Rhinolophus ferrumequinum: one gene and its partners. The protein of the gene in region 1 purifies or fractionates together with the protein of each later gene. This does not show direct contact. Links are inferred from orthologs where the notes say so. Each region holds a gene or a part of one and is shown in the gene's direction. Other genes may lie near its edges.

Region 1 (6,000 bases):
GAGTGGAGGAGAAACTGTTGATTCATTGTGCTGGAAGGAGTCTTAGGGAACATCCAGTCCAATGGTCTCATTGTACAGATGAAGAAAATGAGTCACGGGAGCCGGCTGCTGGCCAAGGTCAGAGTGAGAGACATGCAGGTCCCCAGGCTCCCAAGCTGACAGATTGTTTCTGATGGACAGAGGAGTGGGAGGGGCTAGAGGATGGGTCTCCTCCCACCTGGCCCTTCCTTGGCACTCCATCCTGTGATGGAGGTGAGGTAATCCCAAGGCCAGCCAGAAGCCAGAGGCCTACGGGGTGGGCAGGCTGGAAATGGGTTTTTGGAATAGATTCCTAGAGGGACAGTGTCTAGACGTTTCCAGAAAGACCTAGTGCCCCCCACCCCCATGCGCTCTAATTACTGCTGCCCACATTTTCAGTTCCCAGCAGGCCCAGCAACCAGCACAATCCGTCAGCTGTCAGGCTTCTCCAGGGAGTTCCTGCAGCTGCCTGAAGACTCTCGAACTTTCTCTGGGGCTGAGCCAGGAAAGGAGGGCCTGGCTCAGCCACAGTTGGCAAAAGCCAACCAAGGGTGTGACTAGTGTGGCCAAGTGCCAGGCTGGGAGGCTGTTCTTGCCAGGCTGGGCTGCAGAGTACCTCAGACTTTGGGGCTAGGGATGAGGGGAGGGGCCCCTGATTAAGGAATCCCAGACCCCGCACTGCCCACTTCCCCTCACCACTCACCCTGCCACCCCCACCCCTGTGGCTTCCGGGAAATCCCTGGGGGTGGAGTCAGTTTCCTCTTCACCCCAGAGAAACTACCCCAGGCAGCTAGAGCAGAAGATTGTCAAAGAACATTTGGGCAGGTGGGCAAGTGTGGGGCTGATATCCAGCCCTTGCTCCTCTTGCCAAGCCCTATGGCTGGTTTCAGGGTGCAACCTCCTAGAGAAAAGGCACCTGGTCTGAAAGGACCCCAGAGAGTCTGGCCCAACCCTCCCTGTCCCGACAGGCAACACCTCACCCTGCACCGAGAAGCCCACAGCCCACAGGCCTCCCTGGACTGCCTGGGAAGTCTCCCCCACCGGACAGAGGATCAGGAGGCCTGAATTCCAATCCTCCCCACCCCCTGACCAGCTTTGCCACCTTGGGCAGTTCTGACCCTCAGTTTTCTCATCTCAGTAATGGGACTCTAATAAGATACCTGGATACGCTAGAAAGTTCATACAACTGCATAATTCTCATTAATCTACGTTTCGATATCCAAAAGTAAAAGCCCTCTTCCATTAATAATGATTAATACTTAATGAGCACCAGGCACTTCATGTGCTTAGCTGTGTTTGGGATTCACCACAACCCTGCAAGATGGGCGCGTTTTTGGCCACGTTTTGCAGCTGGGGACATGTAGGCTCAGAGAGGTCACCAGGCCAGTGAACAGCAGCACCCAGATTCAAGTCCATCCTTGTCTGACCTCAAAACCCAGTTTCTCCCACACCCCACCCCCTCTTACCATGACCCAGAGCCACCCATGTCTCCTTTGTTGTTACTGGCAGGGTGCCCTAGAGTCTCTCGAGAACTGGCCATTTGAAGATGGATGTGAATTCTCTGTTCTGTGTCCCCCACCTGCCGTGGGCAGAGGGATGGAGTTATTGCACAACTTCCCTGGCTGGGGCAGTAGGATGGATCCTACCTGCCTGGTGTCAGGCAAGATGAAGGGAGCTTGTGCCTACAAGCCCTGGCAACCAGCCAGGCAGCCTCCACCCAGAGCGTGGCTGGGCCTGGCAGGGCCACACTTGAAAGCATCCATGACCACACCTGCCAGCTCCTTCTAGGGTGGGGCACCTGCACTCCAGTCTGAGCCAAGGTGGGCAGGCAGGGGCGGTGAGGGCCCTCCCGGCTCCTGAGCTCATCCTGACTTTATAGAGGTGAGGACGGGTGGGGCTGGGAACGCCAGGGACCAAAGACCTGGGGCTTTCTGAAGCTGAGACCCTTGGGGGGCAGCCAGGAGCTCCCAGCTGAGACCTACTGATCCAGCAAGGGAAATGGGGCAGAGGTGTCTGCCCCAGGGGTGTCTGCCTCCCACCCCTGGCCCAAGAGAACCCCAGGTGCTCAGAGGCTTTTCCAGAGGTGACATCAGATTCATGGTCCAGCCCCAACTCTTTCCTCATGGGGTGCAGGTGAGTAAGAAGGAAGGCATCCAGGAGCTCTCTCTTGAAGAGGAAATTGAGGCTCAGAGAGGGCATGAGACTTGTTGTTACCCCCAATTCATTGAGGTGAGCGGCCTGGGGTCTAGCTTCCAGCCCCTCAGATGTCCTGAGCAGGGCAAAGCCCCTGCAGCACTGACAGAGTATAGCCTCAGCCCCAGAAAGGGGCAGCAACATGGTGGGTCTCAGAAAGAGAGAAGGCAGGGAAACACCAAGATAGGAGCCCCTGAGGGTAAGAGCCCCAAGCACTAGAGAGGCAAGAGGCTTACTGTGCTGCTGTCTTACAGGAGATAGTGGCCAGTCACTCTGAACCTGTTTCTTCATCTAAAAAGGAAGGATAATAGGACATGGCAGCAGAAGGAAGGCTGGACCAGGATCATGCCTGTGAAGGAAGGAAAGAGGGGACGTTAGGATTATGGCAGGAGCTTAGGGACACCACCCTCTCCAAGCAATGGAAGATGGAGACCTGGATCCCATAGAGGGTCAGATAGGAGGGGTCAAGGGGCAGGCCCCAGGCTCTAAGCAAGAGTGAGCAAACTGTACCACCTGGAGCCCCCTCTCCCTTTGTGCTGTGGGAATAAAAAACAAAAGGGGTTTTGAGATCATGATCTGCAAAAAGGAAAACTGAGGCCTAGAGAAAGGACGGGCCTTGCCCCAAATCACACAGTAAGTCAGTGACAAACCTCAGAGTAGATTCAAGGTTGCTGCATTTCAGGCTTCCTGTCCTCAAGGAAAAATAGATATAATGCGGAGACTGACAATAACCTTCCTCCTCACCTCTTCTCAGCACTAGGACCCAGGTTCTCATCTGGGCCAGCCCCACTGCTGAGGGCAGGGGGGAAATGGCCAGACCCACACATACCACGTTTCCCGGAAAATAAGACCTAGCCGGACCATCAGCTCTCATGCGTCCTTTGGAGCAAAAATTAATATAAGACCCAGTCTTATTTTAATATAATATAAGACCGGGTCTTAATATAAGACCAGGAATATAATAATATATAACATAACATAATGTAATATTAAAACAATACCGGGTCTTATATTAATTTTTGCTCCAAAAGAAGCATTAGAGCTGATGGTCCAGCTAGGTCTTATTTTCGGGAAAACACGGTACCACCGCCTCTGCAATAGGGATGGGTACACATCCTCCTTCTTCCTCCCTCTCTTCAATTCCAGGTAGATAATAACAATAATTATCATGTACCAGGCCCTGGGCTAAAGTCTATGCTTGCATTAAGTCACGTAATCCTCACACCAGCCCAATGGTGTAAGCATTATTATCATCATCCATTTTCTCCATTTTCTAGATGGGGAAACTGAGGCACACAGAGTCTAACTTGCACAAGTTCTTCCAAGTAGTGGCAGAACCAGGATGTGAACCCAGGCAGTCTGGCTCCAGAGCCTACACACCTAAAACCACACCAGACTGCTTCTTAAAACGTAATTTTACAGGGAGTGCCCTTCTAGTTGCTAGATGAGATGCTGCCCCATTCCTGAAGTGCTTAATTAAAGCCACTTAGATCTTAAAAAAAAAAAAAAAAGACATTATTTTACAGACACCCTGTGGTTCAAATGCTGGCTCTGCCACTTCCTAGTTGTGTGGCCTCTCTCAGCTTTGTCCTCCCCGACACAAGAATGGGACTCTCCTCAGCCCGCGGGCCAGCGCTTTAGCGCCCAGGCCTGTCGGGCAGTGGTCACTGTATCAATATCGGTGCTCCAGTCATTTGTTTGGTTATTTGAACGAGAAGGTTCCAGACGTGGGAAGTCTTCCTTGCCCCGCCCCTGCGCCGGTATGCAGGGGGAGGGGCTGCCCCCAACCCGTCATTGCCATTAATAGAGACCTGAAGCACCGCCTGCTAAAAATACCCGGCTGGAGCCCCATAAAAGCGCTTCTTGCTCCAACGCCCGGCACTTCTCCGAGCCTCAGCCAGACGCGCAGATCCGATCCAGCATGGCAGAGCGTCGCGTGCCCTTCTCGCTCCTGCGGAGCTCAAGCTGGGACCCTTTCCGCGACTGGTTCCCGCCCCACAGCCGCCTTTTCGATCAGTCGTTCGGGATGCCGCGGTTGCCCGACGAGGTGTCGCTCTGGTTGGGCCACAGCGGCTGGCCGGGCTACGTGCGCCCGGTGCTGCCGGCCGCCGCCGAGGGCTCCTCGGCAGTGGCCACGCCCGCCTACAGCCGCGCGCTCAGCCAGCAGCTCAGCAGCGGCGTCTCGGAGATTCGGCACACGGCCGACCGCTGGCGCGTGTCCCTGGACGTCAACCACTTCGCCCCCGAGGAGCTGACTGTCAAGACCAAGGACGGTGTGGTGGAAATCACCGGTGAGCCCCCGGCCCTTCGGGCACGGAGCGGGCGGGGCGGGGCGGGGCGGGGAGCGGAGCCCGAGCAGCGAAAAATTAAGCTTCCTGGCCCTGCCCCAGGCCTGTGTCCCCTTCTCTAGAATTGAGTTAGCGGATAGCTCCCAAGGGACCTTTCGGTCCTAAAAACGCCCCATTAAGGGAAGAAATGCCCCCCTTTCAGTTAAGACCCCCAACCTACAGATGACCAAGTTTCCCTGCGCTCACCCACTCCCGGGCCTGCGGTGGCTGTGAAGAGAATTTTGTCTTCCAGCGCTGTCCCCGCCCCTACACCGGGTCCGTGGAGGGGGCGTGTGCGCACGCCCGGCACTGCATCCACCACCCCCAAGTCCTAAACAGAACTCCAGAAGCTTCTGAGGACAGCCCCCGACCCCAAATCCCTCCACCAGTCGGGATCTGCCTTGAGTCCAGGCCGCCAGGTGGGGCGTGTTGGGCTGCGGGCTGGCCCCTCCCTCACCTCTGACCGCCTTCCCTCCGCAGGCAAGCACGAAGAAAGACAGGATGAGCATGGCTACATTTCACGGTGCTTCACTCGAAAGTACACGTGAGTCCTGCGCCCAGTGGTGGGGAGTGGGAGGGGGCCACAGTGACTTACCTGTGTGTGACTCTGGTCCTCCCTCTCTGCATGTCCAGGCTGCCCCCTGGTGTGGACCCCACCCTGGTCTCCTCCTCCCTGTCCCCTGAGGGCACGCTCACCGTGGAGGCCCCGATGCCCAAGCCAGCCACCCAGTCAGCAGAGATCACCATTCCGGTCACCTTCGAGGCTCGTGCCCAGATCGGGGGTCCAGAAGCTGGAAAGTCGGAGCAGCCTGGAGCCAAGTAAAGGCCTTGGCCCTGCTTCGAACCCCCCATTAGCCATCACTGACCATCCCTACCTGTCAGCCTGAATGCTCTTTTGATACCTTTATGTTGTTTTTCTCAAATAAAGTTCAAAGCAACTGCCTGCCACTGCCTCAGACCCTCGTGTGTGTAGAGGCCTAGGGGTTGGCACCGTCGCCTGGCTGACATTCCTTGCTGTGTGCAAAGCCTCATGCTGGGCCCTGTGGGTACAATGATGCCCATTACAGGGTATAGCCCTGCCCTCTGGCCCCTTGTCCATTAAGATAGAAGTAATGATTGTAACCAGCAATTAAAACTCCAAGGGGCAGGTGTGGGAGCTGGGGAAACCAGGAGAGGTTCCTGGCCCAGGACTGGGTACTCAGGGATTCCTAGGCTGGGGTCAGGTGAAGGGGGACAGAGCAGGGCCAGGGGAGGGGAGCTGCCTGGGAGCTCAGGGTCCCTTACTGACCTCGTCATTACTTTATTGTCCTCCCAGAGAGGGACAGGACCATGTAGATGGTATGGGAGGTATGGCAACTTCAGATGACTAAGCGGGGTGGGCCTCGTCAAAGGACCCATCCCCTGATGCCCATGCAGGATGGGCCTGGGCTCTCAGGCTGAGGATGCCCTGCAGACAGTGAGG
Region 2 (7,730 bases), on another chromosome or scaffold:
GACCCAAGGGCAGCCATGCCACCTGAGGGGCACCGTGCAAGGGCCGCTAGGACCTGGAGAAGCTGCCACAGATACAGCTGAGGACGTGGAGAGTGGGTGAGCAGGGGCTGTGATGGAGACAGGGGTGGGATGGCCAGGAAATGGCCCCCGTGCCAGCCACCTGGGGGAGGAGGTGCTGGAGGACAGCCTTCAGCTGAGGTCTCGTCACAGAGCCACCTGACCCAGGGGCAAAGGCCAAGGACCCCTTCCTTTCCCAGAGCAGGCCACGCCCCCTCCCCACAAGACCCATGCCGTGCCCCTCCCCAGGCTAGCCAGCTCACGACCAATTAGTGCAGAGATATGAAGGCCTGGCTGTGTTGGCCCAACTTGGAGCAACTCAGAGTGTCATTCTGCTCCAGAGCTCCCCGTAGGCTCGGCCTGCACTGCAGCCCAGCTTCTCCCTCTGCCCAGCCCTGCTTCCTCCCTGTCCTTCTCTTCCCCTCCCTCCCTCAGTGTTGGTCCTCAGAGCACTCAGAATAAAGCTCCTATAAGCTCATCTCCATCTCACAAGATGCTTCCGGGGAATCCCACCTAAAACAAAGAGGGAGGGCAGCTGAGCTGCAATCGCTAGCTGGCTCCCTGATACACACCCACCCCCAGACCCAGTAAACACATAGGCATAGGTGAGTAGGATAAGCCTTCCCCCAGCAGGGCTGGGTCCTGACTTTTTACCCCTCACACCCAATGTCCTCCTTACCTCGGAGCTCTTGATTCTCCTCTAGACAGCGCTGGAAGGTCTCAGGAGCGCCCTGCTCCGAAGGCAGGTGGAGCATGGTCGGCTTCCCTAGAGAAGACTCTTCACCCAGCACGTCCTGGTCCCCGGCCGGGCCACCGCTGGGCTGCACCATCTCACACAGCTGACTCTTCCAGGGGGGCCCGCTCATCCAACAAGTCAAGGTCTGGGAGAGAACGGCAGCACAGGCGTCACACGAGACCCGTGCAGAATTCTCTTACCTACAGGACAACGGGTGTAGTGTGTGCAGCAGTTCTGGGGCCAAGTTTTACGCAGAATACCAAGCACTTTGTCGAGTGTAATAGCATGCTAAAATGGGCTTTTTGGTCTAAGAAGTGGCACATACTCCCATTCCAAAGGGAGGTGCAGGCCCACGTATGGGACTTGGGAAGGCCATGGTTCAGCACCAGTTATAAGCCCTGCCTAGCAACTATCTCCGGGCTGTAAGCTGAAGTGAAGAATTTCGCCAAAGGGGAAAATAAGAGAGAGGATTCATTTTGGAGGAAGGTGTCAGTGTGCTGGCTATCCTACCACATACACACACCTGCAAGCAGGAATGGAGGGCGTTGGCCCCTCACCTAGTGTAGTGGGTTGAATGGTGGCCCCCCCAACAAGATACATCCATGTCCTGACCCCAAGAACCTTGGGAATGTAACCTCATTTGGAAAAGGGGTCCTTGCAGATATAATTAGGTGCAGGATCTTTAGAGGAGATCTTCCTGGCTTAGGGTGAGCCCTAAATCCAATGACAGTATCCTTATAGGAGATAAAAGAGGACAGATGCAGACATAGGAAGAAGCCATACGAAGGTGGAGACAGAGACTGGAGTGGCGACAGGCCAAAGGACACTTGGGGCCACCAGAAGCTGCAAGAGGCAGGAAGGACCCTCCCCTACAGCCTCTGGAGAGAGCACGGCCCTGCCCACACTTGACTTCAGACTTCCAGCCTCCAGCACTGGGAAAGAATAAATCTCTTGCAGCAGCCCCAGAAAATTAATGCACCTACTAAGAAGGATTTCGAGGAGACCACTCAGACCCTGATGAATGTTCCCTGGAACTGAGGGGACAAAAGGGAAATCCAGTATCTGACTTTTTGCTTTAGAATCGGCAAGTGGGAGCTGGGCTGACAGCCTAAGACAGTGGGGCAGAGACACAGGCTGAGCTGTCCCCATTCTCTTGTGAACCAGAGGAGAGGCGGGCCGTGAGGGACAGTACCAGCCTGGAGCCCTTTTCAATCCTGCCCAAGAAGACTGACTACCTGGCGGAGGAGGCCACTCTCAATACAAGTTTTGAGGCCTGAGCTGAGGGAGGCTTTCACAACAGATAAACTTGGACATTTGACTACCACACTGAACACACCACTAACTCATCAGCAGCATCTGACCAACCACGGATTCCTCCCTCAGCTCCCAGGACAGCCCTCTCCTAGTTTTCCTCCGACCTCACTGGCTGCTTGTGCTCGGTGCCATGCACTGAATCCTCTTTGGTAACCCAGCCCTTCACACTGTGATGCCCCGGGGCTCTGTTCTAGGATCTCTTCTCTTCTCTGTCCAGTCCCACCAGTACTAAGCATCCAGCCTCATGGCTTTAACCCCCCACCTTAATGTCAATGATGCCCCAAATTAGACCTCTTTCCTCAACGCCACACTCACATATCAAACTCAACATCTCCACTTGGAATCTAGGAGTCCTCTCAAAACTAATCTCTCTAAAACTGTTCCCGACAGTTCCCAAAAGCCAGGTCCCGCAGCCTTCTTTCGTGTCAGCTGATGGCAAATCCATCCTCTCGTTATCAGGACAAATACCATGGAGTCCATCTTGACTCCTGTCTCTCACAGCTCACATCTGATCCATCAGGAAATTCTACCAAAATATATCCCAGAATCGATCTGATGACACTAAGCAATTAATGTTAACTATTTTAGGTGGGATATGGTATTGTGGTTGTTTTTTTTTTTTTTTCAGTCCTTTCTTAGAGATGCATACTGAAATATTTACGCATGGTGTCTGAAATCCACTTCAAAGTAATGGGGAAATTCCTAGGTATATACCCAAAAGAAATGAAAACACATGTCCATACATGAATGCTCACAGCAACATTACTCATGACAGCCAAAGAATGGAAACAACCCAAATGTCCATCAACTGATGAATAATCAAAATCTAGACATGTTACAAAATGGATGAATCTTGCAAACATTATGCTAAGAAAAAGAAACAACTCACAAAAGACCACATATTGTATGATTCCATTTATATGAAAGGTCCAGAATAGGCAAATACACAGAGACAGAAAGATTAGTGGATGCTTAGAGGCGGGGGAGATGGGGTGATGGGGTGACAGCTAGAGGGTGCAGGGTTTCTTTTTGGAGTGATAAAAATGTTCTGGAATTAGTGGGTATGGTTGTACAACTCTAAATATATTAAAAACCAGTGAACTGTACACTTTAAATGGGTGAACTGTGTGGTATGTGAATTATATCTCAATAAAGCTGTCATTAAAAAGAGTAATGGGAGAGGATTGTAAAAGGTATAAATTAAACAAAATTGGCCACAAGTTGATAATTGTTGAAGCTGGGAGGTGGGCACATGGGATTTACTACACTCTTCTTCCTACTTTTGTACGTCTTTGTAATTTTTCATAATAAAATGCTCATAGCACCATTGTCTCTCACTTGGATTACTGCAACAACCTCCTAACAGGTCACCCCTGTTCCTACCCTTGCCCCATACAGTCTGTTCTCCCCACCTCGGTCAGAACAATCCGCCTAAAAGGTAATTCCAATCATGTCCCTCCTCTAATCAGATCTCTACCATGCATGGTTCCTCATTACCCTCTGTGTAAAAGCCAAAGTCCCTACAATGGCCTACAAGACCCTGCACTATCTGATCCCTTACTGCTTCCTCTCCAAGTACCTCACTCACTCTGCTCCAGCTATAATGGCCTCCTTGCTCTTCTTCCAACATGCCATGATGGCCCTTTTATCCTCAAGTCACACAAACGGTATGAGGTCGGGCTGACATGAATCGTTTTTGAAAAGTGAACAAACGGAGGCACATGAGATAAGACACTTAGCTGCCAACTCTATTTGAGGTCTTTTTAAAGAATTTAACCACCTCACACACAAGCAAGTTTGAACAGAAAATGTCTCCGAACTACAAGAGTCATCCACGAACTATGGGTGTGGTCAGACTCCGCGGCAGCGGAGGAGGGACAAGCGGAAACAGTCCCGCTCGCCTCCAAGGCAACCTGGGTCCTGCATCGGCCCGCCTGGGCCAGTACTCTAGAAGCGGGTGGCAGAAACGGACCTGGGCCCAACAGGAGAGGGAAGCCTAGACGTCCGGGGGAAATCTAGGAGGCGGCGGAACGCCCACCGATGGTACCCTGTCTTCGGGGAAGAGGACCACACCTTTCAGCAGAATCAGTCCGACGTAAGAAGGGCGGGAGCAGCGGGCCGCGAGCGCTCCTCGGGCCCCGTCGCTCCGAGAAAGTCCCGGTTCCGCGGTCGCTCTTCCCTTCTCCCCCACGAAATTCCCACTTCCGGCTTCCGGTGTCGTAACTGTGGGATCCGGAAGTAAAACACGCAAGCCCCGCCCCTCCAAAGAGGCCGGGAATAGATGTGAGGGAAGCTGTTCCAAAGGGAAGCCTGAGCCCGCCACCCTCGGCCGGCCCGCAGGACGCTCCCCAGTGATGTTCCCCACCCGCTACTTTCCGGGGCGTCAAACCCACACTCCCCCTTGTCTCTTGAGCGGTGGCACCCAGCCTCCGGGCGCTCGGCCGCCCCGCCCCTGCTAGGGGAGGAGCCACGAAGAGGCTACCTCGCAGGACAGGTTTGACCGGTCCGGGAGGGGGCGGGGTGAAGACGGCCCCGCCCATAAATGGGGGTCGAGGAGGCGTGGCCACACTGCCGGCGGAAGTGAGCCCTCCGCGAGGGCGCCGGGCCGCCGGGGGCGGAGGGGCAAAATCAGAGTGTAGGGGCGGGGTAGGGCTGGCTATGGAGACGTGGGCGAACGGCGCAGAGCTGCTCGCGGACTCGCGAGGCATCGGGGACGCGACACAGCGGCGATGGGCACAGCAGGCAGCGGCCGGCCCAGGTGCCCAAGGGATGGGGCGGGCCAAGGGAGGGGACTCCGCGGGAGGGGAGGCTAAGATGCGCGCGCACCTGCCCTGCCCCCCGCGAGGGAGGGGCCCATGGAGGCCCCGCCCGCGCGCCTCGCCTGAGGCGGTCAGCTCAGCTCAGGCGCCCGCCCCCGCTGGTTAAATGGACCCGCGGGTCGCAGCCCCCGGAAACGTCCGGGAACTCCGGGGCTGAGAGACCAACTGGCAGAGGCGGACAGGAAGCTCAGGTAACGAAGTGGGCGGGCGCCACACCGGTGTTGGGGTGTGCTGCGCCGCGAGGCCTTTCGATTTGCCATGCTGGGGAGCCGGGTAAAATCAGAGAGTCTTAACGCTTTCCAGTGGACCCCTGAGGAGACTGAGATCGTGAGAGGGGCAGGGACTTGCCATGATCTCCCAGCTTGGTAGGAGGAGGACTGGAGCTGCAGGGTCTAACATGCTCCAGCTTGTTGTGGGGTTTCCGCCTGATTCCAGGCTGAGATGAAACTAGCATCGTGCGATGCTCCAGCAGGGGTTTTTTTACCCAGTTCCTCAGAATTGAGACTCTCGTTGGAATCCACTAGTGCTTTGAGTAATTTTGTAATGTACACTGTGAAAGAAGGCTTCCTGGGGAGTATGGCCGGAGCTCAGAGCCAGCAGCTTCTAACCCCCCAACCATCCTACCTCCCCCCATTCTCAGCCAGTGGTTTCGAATAATCAGACTTCAGCTGAGTGAGAGCCCGAAAGACCCCTGAAGAAAGGGGCCATCTTCTCAGAGCTCTTCTGTTCTCGTGCCTTGTCAACAAGTCTTTCTTTCACCAGAGAGCATCATGGCAGAGCAGGTGGCCCTGAGCCGGACCCAAGTGTGCGGGATCCTGCGGGAAGAGCTGTACCAGGGTGATGCCTTCCATCAGTCCGATACACATATCTTCATCATCATGGGTGCATCGGTGAGTCTCCCCCAGGCCCCACATCTTAAAAGTGTGAAGTTGCTTAAGGTCTCTTCCTGCTGGGTACCTGAGCTTTCCCAACTGGTTGCCGTGGGGCCACACAGGCTCAGCTCAGTTAGACTCTCCTTCTTACTCCTGCTCGTGTGCCATTATCACCCAGCACACCTGGTATACACACACTGTGAGGCATTTCTGAAACCTGCAGAGCCGTTGAATGTAGACCCATGTCCTGGAGCTGGAAGGTCCTTAGGGACTGTCTGATTGGATTGCTTCCTCCATGGGGAAAACTGAGATGCAAACAAGGGAGGCTATTCATTCTGTGTGTATCTTTCTCAAACTTGTTTGTGACTTGACAAATGTCACACAGTCAATTAGTTCCAGAGGCAGGATCTGAGGCCCAATCTCCACCTTGTCTCTCTACCACGTCAAGTTCCCTGGGGACAAACACTCAACCTTTCTTTGAACACTGTCTCTTTGCCCCAACTTCCAAGGCCTGCTGAGGAGCTGTGACCTGCCCCATTGTCTAGCCAGTGGCACTGCCATTTTGCTCTGATAGGAAAGGCCATGGCCCCTACACTAAGGCCCCCTCCCGGTGTACCATGTGGAAATGAGATCTCTGCCAGGCGGCAAGATGTGTGCAGGGCCTGGTGAGATGAGTTGCCAGGGCTTCATGTCGAAGTTAAAGCGGCCTTCTCTTTTCACGTTGAACCCTGAATGTGACGAAGCATCTGCTAAGCATCGCAGGACCATTTTTACCCATAACTTACTGTATAATCTTGAGGGAGAGTTCTACCCAAACTAGTCAGCTCTTGACGGGGAAGGCATGGTCTCTCTGTGCCGTCCACATCATGCTCCCCTCACTCTGGAGGACCTTGGTTCTTTGTTCACGTATCAGCGTGCCACTGTCCTTTGCAGAGGCTGCCCCCTGCCAACTTTGGGATTCTGATTAGAACTTGGAAAAGGAGAGCCAGAATGCAGGGAGGGAGGCAGAGTGGGGGAGAAAGGTTCTGCCGGTGGGAGGGAGGGAAGGCCTGCACTAAGCACTGTCCTCTGGCTCCCCGTAAGTCCACGGCTGGGGAGTACACAGTAGCAGCACACAGGGGGCAGATGTGACGTCCACCTTGTCTCCAGCCTGGTCCCCTTAGAGGAGCCATACCTGTATTGGCCACAAACCTTAACACCAAGGACTCTGACCATTAGGCCCTTTGTCCAAGAAATAGTTTGGAGGAGAAAGTAACTCAGGATTAGTTCTCTTCCTTCCCTCCAGTCACAGGATGCCCCAATAGAGCGTCCCAGGCCACAATAAATGGCTTACAATTCCAGACCCTCAACTCTTAGACATCTCACTGAGATCATCCAAGCTTGCTGTGTGACCTGGGGCAAGTGTCTTCCCTTCTCTGAACCTCTGTGTTTCCATGTAGCAAATGAGGGCTTTTGAAGCAAATGCCAAGGCTTCCTTGGGCTCTGCCGAGCTGATTCTGTAGCTCCTCATCATTGCCTTCCTCTGTGGCCAGCTTGGGGTTGGGCAACTTTGTTTTCTTGCAATTGGTGAGGTTCCCCTTTGCTCCCCTCTGCTCTGAGAGCAACAAACAGAAGCTTTCAGAGCAGAAGTGGGAAGTGCCACTTCAGTGCGGTGGAGTGGAGGAGGACAGGCTGTGGGGAGGGGATCCTCCGAAGAAGAGCCTCCTTGTTTGTTTCTCCATCCTGCAGTTCAAGGGGGCTGGAGTGGGGTAGGCGGGCCTCCCATGCTCAGGCAGCACCTAGAACAGCTCCCAGAAGCAGGCCTCCCATGCCTGCTCCCTCCATGTAGAAAGTAGGCACGGTGGTTCTCTGGGAAACCAGTTAGTTCTCTGCTTATTCAGGCATCAAGTGGCGATTGAGTACCTCCTCTGCAGTGCAGTGACACAGGCCCTG
Region 3 (6,982 bases), on another chromosome or scaffold:
CACCGCTCTCACTGCCCGCCCGGCCCACCCTCCGAATGACTCCAGCCACCAAGAATTAGGAAGGAAGAGTTCTGTCCTGCCCCCAGTCCCAGCATGCAGAGACCTCCATCCTCTGCCCGAGCCTTAGGGTCAGATACCAGGCTGGGCCCCAACAACTTAGCATTGTGCCTGCCTGCATTTCCTGTCCCAGTGTGGGTTCTGCAGTCCTGCCTGTTCCCCACTAGGCACAAGGATTTGTGAGCCCAGGCTTAGGCACCATGGCCTTCCAGACCCCACCCCCATTTCCAGCTCTGCCAGGTTGCGTTTCAGCCCTTAAGGGCCCTGATTCACCCCCTCAGACTCCCTCCCACTTCTCATTTCTGCCCCTGACCCCCAGTCCCTAGCATCTGGCCCCGTCCCCCCAGAGCCTGTGGCCGCCCCCCTTCCCTGTGCCCTGAGCTTCTGCTCTCCTCCATGTCTGGGGCCCGAGTCCTGTCGTGCCCAGCCAGCCCCGTCCAGCTGTCTTGGACACCACCAGCTCCCAGCCTGACCCTGCCTGCCCACCCCTGCAGGTGAGATGCTGCTGCAGAACCTGACCGTGCAGGCTGAGTCGCCCTTCGGGGTGGGTGCCCTCACTCACCTGCTGCTCTCCGGGAGCCCCGAGGACCGAGTGGCTTGTGCGCTGACCCTGCCCTTCATCTGCCGGTGAGGCCGTGGGTGCTTTTCATGGGTTGGGAGCAAGGTTGCTGTTCCCCAGTCCTGTCCTTTCCCACCTCTTGAAGCGTTCTCTTTCTCCCTGAAGGAAGCCGTCTCTGTGGCGCCGGCTGCTTCTGGACCAGGGCGGCCTACGTGTCCTCCTGTCGGCGCTGACGCTGCCAGCCCCACACCCGCTCTTCCTCTTCTTCGCGGCGGACTCCCTGTTCTGCCTGCAAAGCCTGGTGTCGCCCACTGCAACCCCAGCCTCCCCACCGGCAGTCCCGGGGGACCCAGAGGTGCCCTCCCCTTGCCTCTATGAGCCTCTGCTGGGCCCAGCGCCCACCCCAGCCCCTGACCTGCATTTCCTGCTCGACTCTGGCCTGCGGCTGCCTGCCCAGCGAGCTGCCTCTTCAACAGCATCCCCTTTCTTCCGAGCCCTGCTGGATGGCAGCTTTGCCGAAGCCCAGATGGACCTGGTACCGCTTCGAGGTCTGTCACCCAGCGCGGCCTGGCCTATCCTGCATCACCTGCATGGCTGCCGGGGCTGTGGGGCATCCCTGGGGCCCATTCCCCCGCCAGGCCAGCCCCTGCTGGGCTCCGAAGCTGAAGAGGCGCTGGAGGCTGCTGGCCGTTTCCTGCTGCCTGGGCTGGAGGAGGAGCTGGAAGAGGCCGTGGGCCACGTCCACCTGGGACCTCAGAGTGGCCCAGCGTCCGTGGGTGAGGTGTTCCGCCTGGGCCGGCCCCGGCTGGCTGCTCACTGTGCCCGCTGGACACTGGGGCCAGAGCAGTGTCCGCGGAAGCGCGCCCTGGCTCTGCTGGGGCTTGTGGAGGCAGCAGGCAAGGAGACTGGTCCCCTGACTGAAGCTTTACTGGCCGTGGTGATGGGGGGTGAGTCTGGGGGTAAGGGTCCCAGTGTAGACTGTTGATGTCCCCTCGGAGGGGACCCAAAGATGAGATGGCTGTGAAGGTGGCCTCCCTCAGAGAGGCTGGGCGAGGAGGCTGAGCAGAAGGGGCCACCGCGGACAGGAGAGGGTGGCCCTCGACCCCAGGATGATGGGCTGACGACTCAAGAGTGAGAAGCCAAGGCCGGGGTCTGGCCTGGGGCCCATGAGACGGAGAAGAGCCCAGGGCCCCGGGCCTGGCCCAGCACCTGGAGTGGGATTAAACTTTGGAAGTGGAAACCCTACTGTGTGTTGTCTCTGTTTACTTTCTCTTGGGGGTCTCCTCGCACCCTCACCCATCAAGGAGGGTTTTGTCCCGGCCCCTGTGTCTCAGTGCAGGACACCCTGGCATGGAGGAGTTTCACGAGGGACATGCAGTGGTTCCTGGAGTCCCGGCACAGGGTGGAGTCCCCAGGCCTCTCCCTAGGATGTGGTTTCGGGCCCCAAGGGAGGCCTGCCTCCCGCTCACATGATGTCATTGCTCAGACAGCTTCTCAGCTGGCCTCCGAGAGGGTTGTGCTGGGGCAATGCAAGATGCCCCTGGCCTGGGTGTTCCTGCTTTTCGAGTGTCCATCACCCATCTCGGGCCTTCAGTCTGTGGGTTCATTTTCATCTCTTGGGCCAAGTGTCCTGCTGTTTTCCTAAAGGCAGGTCTGCTGCGGAGTCCCTGAGGCCTTGTCTTGGGCTGGCAAAGCCCTGGGCTGGCACTGAGGTGAGGGACGGGCTCCTGTCACTTTGTCCCCAAGGCAGGGTCTCCGTCACCTGGCTCCCAGGTCTGACCACTCAGGTGGCAACGTGACTGAGGAGACTTGCTGGACAGGGTGTGCCGGTGGCCTCTGTGGACTAAGGTGGACACTGATGCCACTGTCCAGGCCTCTATTAGGCTGCACATTAGAACCAGCAGAGCGCTTTTGGAAGATAAGTGAAATACTGATGCCTGAGTCCTCTCTGCTTGGATTGGACTGCGCAGCAGTATTTTTAAAAAGCCCCCCAGGTGGTTCTGATTGGCTTCTGGTTTTGATTGTTTTCCTTCTTCCGTTTAACATGGCCGATTGCCTGACAGGAAAAATAACAAATGGAGATCAATTCTTGTAAGGATCCCAGCTCAACAAGGGCTGTGTCACAAGAGACAGTATCAGCAAGTAGACACAACTGGGGACCACCTGTGGCACCGATTCTTACTTTATTTTTCTGAATGACAATCTTAAAACAAGGGTCGTACCCTCTTCTACGGTTGTCGGCCTTGTATACATTTGCTCCACTGTATACAACAGGACGTTGTATACCTTAGTTCTACATCCAAAACACGTGTCGTAAGGAAATTTACATTTTAATTTCAGATTTTCACATATAAATCAAAGCCTATGTTAAAAATGTAATACTCCACCCAACGCGAACCGTTTTACATGAAATAGTTCATGTGATGCCTTGGACACACAATGGCAGTAAATGCCTTGTATCCCGGCCTGATGGTGGGCACAGCGGCTCACGTGGCCAGCTAAGTCCCCAAGGTTGAAGCGCTCATGGCTGGACTCTGGTCTGGGTGGACACCACGGCGCAGTTGTGTCTGTCCAGACCCGTGTACCAGGGCGTGTCTTATTTCCGCCCTGACTTCTCAGGGTCTCAGTCCAGGGAAGGCCTCTGACTCCTTGGTCGCTGGGCCGGCTGGAGCCTTGTCTGGCTTGCTGTCTTCTCCGGGCCCATCAGCAGCTCGGGAATAGGTCTGGGCAGCCTCAGTGCTGGGGAGGGGCTTTGTCTTGAAGGCTGCGTGGGGTCTGGCTGGTGGGAGTGTTTTCTGAGTCTGCGTGGGGCTGGTGCCTGAGTTTCAGTTTAACTGTGTCTGTTTCCAAGTCTAGGACACCTGGTTTAGTGGAAGGGTTCACTGTGTCTGTCTCAGTCTCTGAGAGATTTATTCGTGTCTAGTGCATGTGCCCTCTGTCTATGTCATTGTGTGTCAGGGTCGCTAAGCGAAGTTCTCTGAACCTGCGATCTGACTGATCCTAGAACATCATTCCTGTCTCCAGCCCCCAAATTCTGTCTGGAGCAAGCCTGGGCAAGAGGAGGGGCTGCGTCTGCAACTCGGGGTGCTGGCTTCGGGAGGTTCTGTTTGGGGGTCTCAGTCTGCATCTGAGCGCCTCTCTGGGCGGAGCTTCCCAGGCTGCTCTAAGAGCCACTTCTCTGACTCTGGCTGTGGCCGCCTGGGGCTCCCTGCAGCTGAGGCCAAGGCCGGGGTGTGGCCGCCTCTCTGTGATCAGGGGCCGGGCCTGCGTGGTCTGGGCCCTCCCTCCCTTACACGCCCCCACCCAGGCTTCTCTTGTTCCTTGCCCCCACTCCCCCCACCTTTCCCTCCAGCTCCATCCCAACGGGTCCCGCTTCCTTACATGGTCACGGGCTGGGCCTCCAGTTCCCGGACGTCCCCCCTTCCACCGGACACGGCCCCCGCCCTGCTCACCCAGCGTGGTCTGTCTGCACCCCGCCATGGAGGACCTGGGTGAGTGGGGCTGGGTCCCCCCGTCCCCAGCCCTTCACTATCCCCTGGACCCGCTTCCCCATACTGGAGCCCCCTTGCACTCCCCTCCTGCATCTCCCCATCCCTGCCTCCTGTCGTCTGGCTTCTGTCTCTGCCCGCGCCTCCTTTCTAATTCCACGTCCCCCTTCCTGCCTCTCCCTTCCTGCCTTTCCCAGGCTGGCCGCTCCCTCCCTTCTCGCCTCGCCCCACTCTTCCTTCACAGGCTGCGGACAGATGGGCAGGGAGGTGCGGTGGCCCTGGGCTCCTGGGCTCAGGGGCTCTGGGACGGGAGGGTTTAAAGGGATCCTGGGTCTGGGGACCGGGAAAGTAGGCAGGAAGGGAGGCTATGACACCCAGTTCTGGAGAAGGAAACCGGCCTGCCCTGGGGTTTCGGGAAGGAAAGCGTTAAGGGGTCCCTAAGTTTGGTAGCGATCCATAGGTGGCGGGGAGACGTTAAAGGTTCCACCACGCCGCTCAGAGATGAAGAGTAAAGGGACAGGGACTTCTGAGTTCTGGAAGGGAAAGCGTTCAAAAGATCCAGATCTGGGGATGGGCAGTTGTGCTGTCTGGGCAGAAAGGAGGACGCAGGCATCTTGTCCTCTCTGTCTGTTGGAACTGGGGCTGGAAGGCTGTGCCCTCCAACCGTGGGACAGAAAGGGTTCCAGCAGACTGTAATGAGGGGTGATGCTCGGTAGGGGTAACGGGCACTGATACTGCGGAGAATAGGCCAATCAGAAGGCAGGTCCCTGCAGACTCACCAATGAGGTGCATAGGGTGGGACCCAGTGGGTCTGGAGGCGGGCCAGAGCGGAGTGGGCCTGTTCAGGTCGGGGGAGAAATTAGTGGGCGTGGTAAGAGAGCTTCCAATCAGAAAGCTGGGTTCCAGGCATACAGCCAATTGAGCAATTTGGGGTGGAGCCAAACTTGGCTCCAGTAAAGAGCCAATTTTGACTGCATTAGGGAAGATTCGGAGGATAAAAAAAAATCAGGTGGGTGGGTTTGTGGGTAACTCCCAGGATGAGCCATTTGGGATGTTCTGCTCATAAATATTCCTTGCTGCCCTTCCACTTTTCTACCTGGGTTTGGCCTTGTGTTTCCCTCTCATTCCTTTTTTTAAAAAAAAAAAAAAAAAAGCTTAGTGGGGAAGGTGAACTGGACTTTATTGGGGAACAGTGTGTACTTCCAGGACTTTTCCAAGTCAAGCTGTCCTTTCAATCTTAGTTGAGGAGGGTGCAGCTCAGCTCCAGGTCCAGTTGCCGTTGTTAGTCACAGGGGGAGCAGCCCACCATCCCTTGAGGGAGTGGAACCCGCAACCTTGTGGTTGAGAGGACGTGCTCCAACCAACTGAGTCATGTGGCTACTCAAGAAGCTCAGCGGCAGATCATTGACTTCATTCTAGTTGCGGAGGGCGCAGCTCGCTGGCCCATGTGGGAATTGAACCGGCAACCCTGTTGCCCAGAGCTTGCACTCTAACCACCTGAGCTACCCATCCGCCCTCCCTGATGCCTGATGCCTGATGTCTGCTCTCAATACTTGCTTCTGTCCTCAACTACTGCCCACTTGGAACTCATCTTCTCATCTGTTAAGACCCTCTTTGTCTCTGACCTAACTTTGACCTCTCAGCTTCTCACGCTGATGACCTCTCCCTGCAGATGCCCTGCTCTCTGACCTGGAGACCACCACGTCACACATGCCAAGGTCAGAGGCTCCAAAAGAGCAGCCCCCAGAGGCCCTCACATCTTCCCTGTCCTATGGCCACCAGCCGCAGGTGAGATCAGAGGCTGTGGCCTGGGGCAACCACTCGGGCCCGTCTTGGCCTGGGCTCGGGGGAATCTGGGCCTGAGTGAGGCAAGATACAGGTCTGCCATCCCATACCTGTGTCCTCTCTGTAGATGGGGTCTGGCGAGTCTTCAGGAGCCTCAGGGGACAAGGACCATCTGTACAGGTAAGGGGCCTGGGAACGGGGATGAGGGGTGGAGAAGCCCAATGAGACTCAGGTGAGGAGGCTTGGACTCCCCACCCCTGAACCCAGGCTCCCACCCTGTTTCCCAGCACGGTATGCAAGCCTCGGTCCCCGAAGCCTGCGGCCCCCGCGGCCCCTCCGTTCTCCTCCAGTGGTGTCTTGGGCACAGGGCTCTGTGAGCTGGACCGCTTGCTTCAGGAGCTTAATGCGACTCAGTTTAACATCACAGGTACGGGGGTTACTGCGACAGGCCTTCACCAAGGGGTACATACTCCCCAGAGCAGCAGTGGAAAGGACTCAAAGCCTTACGCGGGAGGCGGGTAGAGCACGGTCCCGTGTCCAGCCCTTCTCTCCTCTCCGCAGATGAAATAATGTCTCAGTTCCCATCTAGCAAGGAGACTGCAGGGGAGCAGAAAGAGGACCAATCTGAGGACAAGAAAAGGCCCAGTGGGTGAGTTTGCACAGTTGGCAGGGCTGGGAGAGAGGTGATCGGTCCTGAATGCCTGAGATACTGGAAAGAGCGTTCCTCTGGGAGGCTCGGAGCCGACACACGCTGTGTTCTTCACAGGCCCCCTAGCCCATCCCCCGTTCTCCAAAAGCCTTCGGCTACCTCTGCCACCCTGGAGTTGGACAGACTGATGGCGTCACTCTCTGACTTCCGAGTCCAGAACCACGTGAGTCAGGCAAGGGGGCGGGCCGCTGTGGATGTGTGGCTCCCCGGCCCATCTTAAACCTTTCCACATCTGCTGCCTTGCTGACTCAACTCACATGTGCCCCCTGCTGCAGCTCCCAGCTCCTGGGCCAACCCAGCCACCAGGGCCAAGCTCCGTGGATGAGGGCTCCCCGTCCCCAGCGGAGCCTACCAGCAAGGGCGGCCTGGACACCATGCTGGGTC

The links.
Region 2: the proteins of HSPB1 (region 1) and G6PD fractionate together in Homo sapiens (co-fractionation; 3 studies listed by BioGRID and IntAct, with this or other methods). This does not show direct contact. The link is inferred for Rhinolophus ferrumequinum from reciprocal best matches to the Homo sapiens genes HSPB1 and G6PD.
Region 3: the proteins of HSPB1 (region 1) and TGFB1I1 purify together in Homo sapiens (affinity purification with western blotting; 3 studies listed by BioGRID). This does not show direct contact. The link is inferred for Rhinolophus ferrumequinum from reciprocal best matches to the Homo sapiens genes HSPB1 and TGFB1I1.

What each region holds. Positions count from the first base shown.
Region 1 is NC_046290.1:92,474,314-92,480,313, reverse strand, and holds HSPB1 (heat shock protein beta-1), read left to right. Parts: upstream 1-4,043; 5' UTR 4,044-4,132; coding exon 4,133-4,502; intron 4,503-5,018; coding exon 5,019-5,082; intron 5,083-5,171; coding exon 5,172-5,361; 3' UTR 5,362-5,483; downstream 5,484-6,000. UniProt on the Homo sapiens protein: Small heat shock protein which functions as a molecular chaperone probably maintaining denatured proteins in a folding-competent state. Plays a role in stress resistance and actin organization.
Region 2 is NC_046284.1:6,114,612-6,122,341, forward strand, and holds the start of G6PD (glucose-6-phosphate 1-dehydrogenase), read left to right. Parts: upstream 1-4,691; 5' UTR 4,692-4,765; coding exon 4,766-4,865; intron 4,866-4,959; exon of another isoform or gene 4,960-5,117; intron 5,118-5,688; coding exon 5,689-5,816; intron 5,817-7,730. Other genes in the region: IKBKG (NF-kappa-B essential modulator), read right to left, coding at 737-923. UniProt on the Homo sapiens protein: Catalyzes the rate-limiting step of the oxidative pentose-phosphate pathway, which represents a route for the dissimilation of carbohydrates besides glycolysis.
Region 3 is NW_022680357.1:63,150-70,131, reverse strand, and holds the start of TGFB1I1 (transforming growth factor beta-1-induced transcript 1 protein), read left to right. Parts: upstream 1-3,954; 5' UTR 3,955-4,094; coding exon 4,095-4,107; intron 4,108-5,444; exon of another isoform or gene 5,445-5,542; intron 5,543-5,776; coding exon 5,777-5,892; intron 5,893-5,999; exon of another isoform or gene 6,000-6,016; coding exon 6,017-6,069; exon of another isoform or gene 6,070-6,078; intron 6,079-6,176; coding exon 6,177-6,316; intron 6,317-6,396; exon of another isoform or gene 6,397-6,450; coding exon 6,451-6,538; intron 6,539-6,655; coding exon 6,656-6,761; intron 6,762-6,873; coding exon 6,874-6,982. Other genes in the region: ARMC5 (armadillo repeat-containing protein 5), read left to right, coding at 552-684, 782-1,601. UniProt on the Homo sapiens protein: Functions as a molecular adapter coordinating multiple protein-protein interactions at the focal adhesion complex and in the nucleus. Links various intracellular signaling modules to plasma membrane receptors and regulates the Wnt and TGFB signaling pathways.